Callithrix jacchus: one gene and its partner. The protein of the gene in region 1 interacts with the protein of each later gene in a biochemical or structural test. Links are inferred from orthologs where the notes say so. Each region holds a gene or a part of one and is shown on either strand. Other genes may lie near its edges.

Region 1 (3,806 bases):
CACCTCACTCAGCCATGATGCTGGGTAGAAGGAGCGTCCCCACGGCCCAGCACCCACCTCACTCAGCCACGATGCTGGGTAGAAGGATCGTCCCCACGGCCCAGCACCCACCTCACTCAGCCACGATGCTGGGTAGAAGGATCGTCCCCACGGCCCAGCACCCACCTCACTCAGCCACGATGCTGGGTAGAAGGATCGTCCCCACGGCCCAGCACCCACCTCACTCAGCCATGATGCTGGGTAGCAGGATCGTCCCCACGGCCCAGCACCCACCTCACTCAGCCATGATGCTGGGTAGCAGGATCGTCCCCACGGCCCAGCACCCACCTCACTCAGCCATGATGCTGGGTAGCAGGATCGTCCCCACGGCCCAGCACCCACCTCACTCAGCCACGATGCTGGGTAGAAGGATCGTCCCCACGGCCCAGCACCCACCTCACTCAGCCACGATGCTGGGTAGAAGGATCGTCCCCACGTCCCAGCACCCACCTCACTCAGCCACGATGCTGGGTAGAAGGATCATCCCACGGCCCAGCACCCACCTCACTCAGCCACGATGCTGGGTAGAAGGAGCGTCCCCACGGCCCAGCACCCACCTCACTCAGCCACGATGCTGGGTAGAAGGATCGTCCCCACGGCCCAGCACCCACCTCACTCAGCCACGATGCTGGGTAGAAGGATCGTCCCCACGGCCCAGCACCCACCTCACTCAGCCACGATGCTGGGTAGAAGGATCGTCCCCACGGCCCAGCACCCACCTCACTCAGCCACGATGCTGGGTAGAAGGATCGTCCCCACGGCCCAGCACCCACCTCACTCAGCCACGATGCTGGGTAGAAGGATCGTCCCCACGGCCCAGCACCCACCTCACTCAGCCATGATGCTGGGTAGCAGGATCGTCCCCACGGCCCAGCACCCACCTCACTCAGCCATGATGCTGGGTAGAAGGATCGTCCCCACGGCCCAGCACCCACCTCACTCAGCCATGATGCTGGGTAGAAGGATCGTCCCCACGGCCCAGCACCCACCTCACTCAGCCATGATGCTGGGTAGCAGGATCGTCCCCACGGCCCAGCACCCACCTCACTCAGCCATGATGCTGGGTAGCAGGATCATCCCCACGGCCCAGCACCCACCTCACTCAGCCATGATGCTGGGTAGCAGGATCGTCCCCACGGCCCAGCACCCACCTCACTCAGCCATGATGCTGGGTAGAAGGATCGTCCCCACGGCCCAGCACCCACCTCACTCAGCCATGATGCTGGGTAGAAGGATCGTCCCCACGGCCCAGCACCCACCTCAGTCAGCTAGCTGAGACACAGCCCGACCATCACCATGCCCCATTTCTTGCTGAAGTTCCGGTTTGAGCAATACACTGTGGTCATAAAGAAGGGATTCCGTACATGTGAACAAGAAAACATTCTTGAGTTCAGCAGTCATTATAAAGCACATTTAACTTTCCATCTCTGACCTTTATTATTTTTTAAATGAACCTGGCTGTTTATTCTTTCATTTACCAGGATGATGATAAAAGCTTTAGGAGAGCACCTTCATGGAGAAAAAAGTTTAGACCAAAGGACATTCGTGGCTTAGCTGCTGGGTCAGCAGAGACGCTCCCTGCAAACTTCCGGGTGACTTCCTCCATGTCCTCGCCCTCTATGCAGCCAAAGAAGATGCAGATGGACGGTATGTGGTGGGTCGCGCTAACTGGCAGCTTGCGGGGAGCATGAGCAGCTTTCTGTCTGGAGCATTAATCATGGTCTGAAACCGCCTCTTTAATACGTTACAAGGCACTTGAGTATGGTTGCATGTCCAAAATAAATGTTTTTAAATTAGCTCTAACATTTGTTTACAGAAGTTTAACCATAATAAGAGAATTTTAAAAAACATTTTGTCTGGTTGAATCTTAGCATATTTTTCCAACTAATGAAGCTCAGTGCTCGTCCGTGTTCTCAGGAAGCCTGAGGCGTCCTTGTAGCCACGTGTGCGCGCCAGGCCGTGCTGGAAGCTCTTTCAGGAAACAGTGGAGTAGTAGCTTCCCGACCACAGAATTTAGTGCTCCGCGCACCAGAGAAAATAACCCAGTACATTTTAAATAACACTTTCCAGCTCATGTAAGCTCTGCCTGCCTTTCTCCCCTCCCTGCTGCTGCTGTTTGTGCAGTCACGTCTACCTCCCAGAAGTCCCCAGTGGAGTGAGGCCGCCACCGAATATACCAGCCAGAGAGAGCATATCACTGCCATGATGTCAGGCGCTGTGTGGGGTCTTCCCTTTGACAACCACTTTGATTCGAGGTTAACAGTTGACCATGGCTTCCTGACAGGTCTCTCGGCTCTAATCCTGCACTCATCTAATGAAAGGCAGTGCACAGGTTGGAGAGCCAGGCTGCCTAGGTTTGACTCCAGCTCTGCTGCTAGGAGGTACATGACCTTGAGCAAGTCATTTAACTGCACTGTGCCTCGGTTTCCCCATCTGTCAAATGGCCATCGTAGTAGTACCTTCCCCATAGAGTATCTGTGACGATTAAATGTGTCATTCATAAAGCTGGTGAAGTTCTAAGCCTGTGTCAGTGGCGGCTGCTCGGCAGCCCCTGTGCTCCAGGCCGCTGTCACTCATTCTCCGTTCTGAGGGCAGCAAGCAGACTGGAGGAAACGAAGTGGCATTAAAAACTGCTAATCTTTGAGGCCAGGAATTCCAGACCAGGCTGGCCAACATGGCAAAAGGCCGTCTCTACAAAAATTAGCCAGGCGTGGTGGCACGTGCCTGTAATCCCAGCTACTCGGGAGGCTAAGGCACAAGAATCATTTGGACCAGGGAAGTGGAGGTTGCAGTGAGCCAAGATTGTGCCACCACATTCTAGCCTCGGCAACAGAGTGAGACTCTGTCTCAAAAAAACAAAAAAAATGTTTAAAGTGCTAATTAGGCATGATGGCTTATGTCAGTAATCCTAGCACTTTGGGAGGCTGAGGCAGGAGGATCACTTGAGCTCAAGTTTGAGACTAGCCTGGGCAACACAGTGAGACCCCATCTCTACAAAATAATAATAATAACTGAAAACTGTGCTAATGAGGGTTTTGCAAAATTGTTTGTCATTACCCCTCCTATAAGTAGGTTCCTAAGTTTTATTCTCTGTCACCTGCATAGAAATCAGGAGTACATTTTTATAAAACCTTAGTTAAACCGGACATTTTGGGTGTGAATGGCTTACTTTGTGGCATTGTTAGTAAAACGCTATATTATTTACCTATTGTTTGCCAGAGATTTATAATATACTTATGGAAGAAAATCCAGTATATCTTTTTAACTAGGGACTTTTAAAAAATTACTGTTTTTCTTCCAAGAATCATGCATATAATTCTTAGAAAGTGTAACTATAGCTTGGCCTTCAACTCAGGCTCTGTCACCTGAAGAGTCCACATGAGTGTGTTCATGTTTTCCTTGTGGCTTCGATTTCAGTTTTCCTTCTGATAAGTCACATTCCCCTTGTCAAATGTTAACAGGAATATTAAGAATGAGAGTTTGGATGAATGAATAGTAAACCCAGGCCGGGCATGGTGGCTCACACCTGTAATCCCATCACTTTGGGAGGCCAAGGTGGGTGGATCACCTGAGGTCAGGAGTTCCAGATCAGCCTGTCCAACATGGCGAAACCCCATCTCTAGTAAAAATACAAGAAACTTTGCTGGGCATGGTGACATACGCCTGTACTCCCAGCTACTTGGGAGGTGGAGGTTGCAGGGAGCCAAAATCATGCCCCTGCACTCCAGTCTGGCTAACAAGAGCAAAACTCCATCTCAAAAAAAAAA
Region 2 (4,447 bases), on another chromosome or scaffold:
GGCCACCGCTCGTGGACTGAGCGCCCGGCACCGGTTGCCTAGCCACTCCTCCCGTCTTCCCTTTCCCGTACCCACTTCCCGCTGGGGCCACCAAGACCATAGTCTCCTTGATGAGGGAGCAGCTCGGGGCGGCACGCGGTGCTCCCCACTACATACCCGTTAGGTATCGTTGCTTGCAAAAGCCCCACCGGCTGAGTGGCTGGCTGTTGGGGTAGGGGAGGCCTGCAAGGTTTTTTTTAAGGTGCAATTATAAATAAAGCCCATAGATCGCGATTTCAAACAAACTTGTCAATCTGGGCCGCAGCAAAAGGCGATGGAGGCAGCTTTGCATGTATTTCGGGTGGTGTGACTCATGAGCATTACTTGTCTCCCCTAGGGAAGGAGCCTGCCCACCCACAAGTCACTGCTGCTCTGGCACCGCTGGGATAAATCTACCAACTTGAGCACCCCTGCCCAAGGACTGCCCCCATCTTCTTACCGAGCAGGAGACTCTGACTTTTGGAGAACTCTTCCTCAATCGTCACCACTGATCTGGCCCCCAGGTCTGGCCCTGGGGTCCCCTGCCCTCTCCCCACAAGCAGAGGAGTGCCCCGCCTTTTGCTGCTGCAGGGATTGGGGGTTGGGTGCACGCGCGGCACACGTGTACGTGGGAGCATGCTCAGTGCGGGGGCTGCACCCACGTGCGGCCTGCACCTAGGCTCCCTGCCCCCCTGGCCACCCACGTTCCTCACCTGCCTCGCCTTTGCCTGTCTCTTCGTGTGAATCCAGAAGAAAAGCCGTCACCTGAAATGGCCCCTCTATGTTATATGAACCCTTTCTGGACACACATACCTCTGGTGGCCCAGAAACACCGTGGGTGTGTATAGGCCGGATGACAAGTGGATATGAGTGCACACAGGCACAGTGGTCACTCCTCGGGAGGTCTTTAAAACCGTCCAGATTCTCTCCTCTCTGGATGGAAGCATGCATGGAGAGATAGATGTATTTTTAGTCCGAAGACAGGAATACACTGCCTGACCTTTCCGGCACCTGGGCGTCCATATTGTGTGGGCGTTTTCAGCAAGAGTGTGACACCACACACACACCTGGACACACAGATGTGGACACTACAGGACCGGGACGCACACTTCACCCCAACCAGAGATAGACGGGTACTCAAGGCACAGCCCCTTTGACGTGGAGCGGGACTTGGGCCTCCAAGTCCTTCCTCTCTTCCCTAATCCCCGCCCTCGCTGTCCCTGGGCCCAGCGTCGCCCGGGCCACCCGACACCGAAAGTGAAGGGGAGGGGGCTGTGAGGGTGACTCACACTGCCTCCGGGCCAGGAGAGCGCTGCAGCAGAGGCCGAGGCCTCAGGCCACGCTGCCCGCCGGCACCCGGCGGCGGCCGCGGCCCCTTTAAGCGTCCCCGCCCCCCTCCCTCCCGCGCCCGGGCTTCCTTTCTCCGGGGGGCGCGGCCGGCAGCGCGCGGCGGGGCGGGGGTGCGGCCCCTCCCCCGGTGGGCAGGGCCTGCGCCGCTTCCTGCAGGAGCGGCCGGGAGCCGCGCAGGGGGCGGAGAGAGGAGCGGCAAGCGGCGGCGGGGCGGCGCGGGGCGGCGCGGGGCGGAGGACGCCCGAGGGCGAGCGGGCAGGCGGGCACGGCGGGTTCCGGGCCAGCCCCGGGGCGGACGGTTGGCCGGGCGCGCGGAGCCTCGCCGGGGCCACGCCGGAGCCGGGCCGGGCAGCAGGGACCGCCGCCGCCGCCGCCCGGGCCCGCCGCCCGCGCCCCCCACGCTGGCCCAGAGGGCTGCGGCCGCGTCGCCGCTGAGGATGTCCCGGAAGGGGCCGCGAACGGAGGTGTGTGCGGACTGCAGCGCCCCGGGTAAGCGCGGCCGGGCCGGGGGCGGGACCGCACAGCCAGGCCGCCGCCGCCGGGCGGGCGCCGGGGCCAGGCGGGAGCGCCGTGCGGGGCCCGAGGGCGGGGCCGGGCGGGGGGCCTCGGCCTCCAGGCTCGGCCCCCGCCCGGGCCACTGCGGAGCCGCGTCCTAGGCTGGAGAGCCGGCCTGGGGAGGCCCCTGCTCCCTGGCGGCCGTGGACTAGCGAGGAAGGACGTTCCCGGCGCCGCCTCCCACCCCTCGGTCTGAGGGAGGCGGGCAGCTGGCTGCTCCTCCACCTCCATCTCTATATCCAACGGAAGCGCCAGCCTGGGGTGGCAGGAGGGCCGTGGCGGAGGCCGGCAGGGTTTGGGAGGAGGGGGCGAGTGTGGTTTTGTGTCATCTCAGTGCCACCCCCGCGTCTTGCACCTGCTGCTCTCGTGGTCGGCACGCCCGCCGGGGTGGTGGAGGGCAAGGAGCAGAGGGCCGGGCATATGCGCCAGTGGAGCCTGGATACCGTCTCCTCAGGAGCAGATGAGCGGTGGCTACTCCCAGGACTCCCTGCCTCGGGTTCCTAACGCTGGGGCTCCTTGTGGGGCCTGGTGTTCAGGGCCAGTCCAGACCCGGGTGTTTTCCCTGGCGGCATCCCCAGGCCTGCTGGTGACTGGGAACAGCTCGGCTGGACCCTGCTTTTGCTGTTCCCCAGTAAGGCCTGCTTGAGAACGCGAGCTTGGCATTGAGCTATCCTGGGCTCGGCTCCTCCCTGTCCGCTAGCCCAGTCTGGCCAGAAATGGATGGGAGGCAGTGGCAAAAAAGTGCCTAGATTCCCCCATCCTGCTGGCTTCCTGGCCTGCCTCCTGGATGTATTTACATAGTGGTTCCCTTCTCTTTCGTAGCAGAGTTAGGACTGGGCTGGAGTGAAACCCCCCTGGCCTGCTGAGGAAGTTAGGAGTAATGATCCTAGAGGCTGCTCCCTTCTGATGGGGGAGGACAGCCAGTGATGGGGCTCTGCAGCTGGCCTGGGAGGGAAGCTCTAGCCCCATCCATTCTTTCTTTAGAAAAGGAGCTGTCTCCCTGGAGCAGGGAGCAGGTTCCAGAGGTCTGTGGACTCTAGGGAGAGTGGGCATGATTAAGAGTGAGAGTATGGTGTGCTGTTTTGTGGACCCATAACTTTCAGCCACCCCTTGAGCAGGCCCAGGACCCCACAGGTTGAGCCTCACAGATGCTCTGGTGGTTCTGGGGGTGCCAAGCTAGAGTATTTGGGAACTGGGAACCTGGCAGGGCTTGGGGACGAGATACTCGATGGGCATTATGACTGGAGGAGCTATCTGGGAGTGGGGGTCCATACCCCTAAGAAACTGTGACTCCCTTTCCCCAGATGCAGACAGGTCTGGGGATGGCAGGGCTGAGGACACCTTGCCTTATAAATGTCTGTCCCATTGTTCCGCACCTCCATGGTGTGGGCATGGAATGATGGGAGGAGAGGCTTAGCAGATACCCTATCAGAGGAGCCTGGGCTTTAGTGTAGTGTACCTTTGTTCCCAGCTTACTCTGTAACCCCAGCAAGACTTTCATCACTGTGGGGGCCTCAGTTTCCTCAATTCTGAGGCAAAGAAGTTGGAGTAGAAATTGTTTTTGAGGGGCTGCCATCTCTGAACCTGTGGTCTGATTCTGGGGCAGTGAGGTGTAGGGCAACACCAGCAAGGCAGTTACCCCTTTTTTTTTTCCTTTTTTTGAGACAGAGTTTCACTTTTGTTACCCAGTCTGGAGTGCAATGGCGTGATCTCTGCTCACTGCAACCTCCGCCTCCTAGGTTCAAGCGATTCTCCTGCCTCAGCCTCCTGAGTGGCTGGGATTATAGGCATGTGCCACCACGCCCAGCTAATTTTGTATTCTTAGTAGAGACAGGGTTTCTCCATGTTGGTCAGGCTGGTCTCAAACTCCCAACCTCAGGTGATCCACCTGCCTCAGCCTCCCAAAGTGCTGGGATTACAGGCCTGAGCCACCGAGCCCAGTTGGGAGTTGTCCTTGCTACATTGCGTTGAGTAGTTGGCCAAAGCCTCTGGATACCCAGTGAGCTCAGGGAGGAATGGTGAGCGTGTAGTATGTTGGATTGCCCAGCTCCTACCCCCAGGTCCTCATCCGTCAGAGGCATTTGTGCCCCAGATATCTCCTTTCCCCTGATCCCCAATAGAGGTCAGGAAGGTAGTGAGAAGGTGAGGATGGTAGTGGGGGAAGGATGTGGACAAAGTCTTACTCATTATCCCACCTCCCACCCAGCAAGGTGTCTGGCATGTGGCAGGCATTCCGAGTGTTTGGCTGCTTGTCAGGACCCTGGCTGGCTGTTTGGGACTGTCCCACACCTGGACAATTAGGATGCTGGCCCTGGTGAGCAGTGGCACATTTGGTCTGGGTCCTGTAGCATCTCAGGCAGAGAGGCATGAGGGTACCCGGTAGTCTGGAGGCCAGATCCACTGCCAGCCCCCGTGGTGTATGACTCCACCCCAGGGTCACAGGCTTCTCTTATTGCAGGAGCCCTGCAGTTCCAGCCACTTGAGTAGGCTCAGGGGCTTTTGTGCTTGGTTAATTTGGGAGGTC

The links.
Region 2: the proteins of PPFIA1 (region 1) and GIT1 form a complex in vitro, tested with the Homo sapiens proteins (2 studies listed by BioGRID). The link is inferred for Callithrix jacchus from reciprocal best matches to the Homo sapiens genes PPFIA1 and GIT1.

What each region holds. Positions count from the first base shown.
Region 1 is NC_133511.1:127,324,359-127,328,164, forward strand, and holds part of PPFIA1 (liprin-alpha-1), read left to right. Parts: intron 1-1,240; exon of another isoform or gene 1,241-1,375; intron 1,376-1,451; exon of another isoform or gene 1,452-1,520; coding exon 1,521-1,686; exon of another isoform or gene 1,687-3,806. UniProt on the Homo sapiens protein: May regulate the disassembly of focal adhesions. May localize receptor-like tyrosine phosphatases type 2A at specific sites on the plasma membrane, possibly regulating their interaction with the extracellular environment and their association with substrates.
Region 2 is NC_133506.1:104,019,746-104,024,192, forward strand, and holds the start of GIT1 (ARF GTPase-activating protein GIT1), read left to right. Parts: upstream 1-1,543; 5' UTR 1,544-1,805; coding exon 1,806-1,857; intron 1,858-4,447. Other genes in the region: ANKRD13B (ankyrin repeat domain-containing protein 13B), read right to left, coding at 832-969. UniProt on the Homo sapiens protein: GTPase-activating protein for ADP ribosylation factor family members, including ARF1.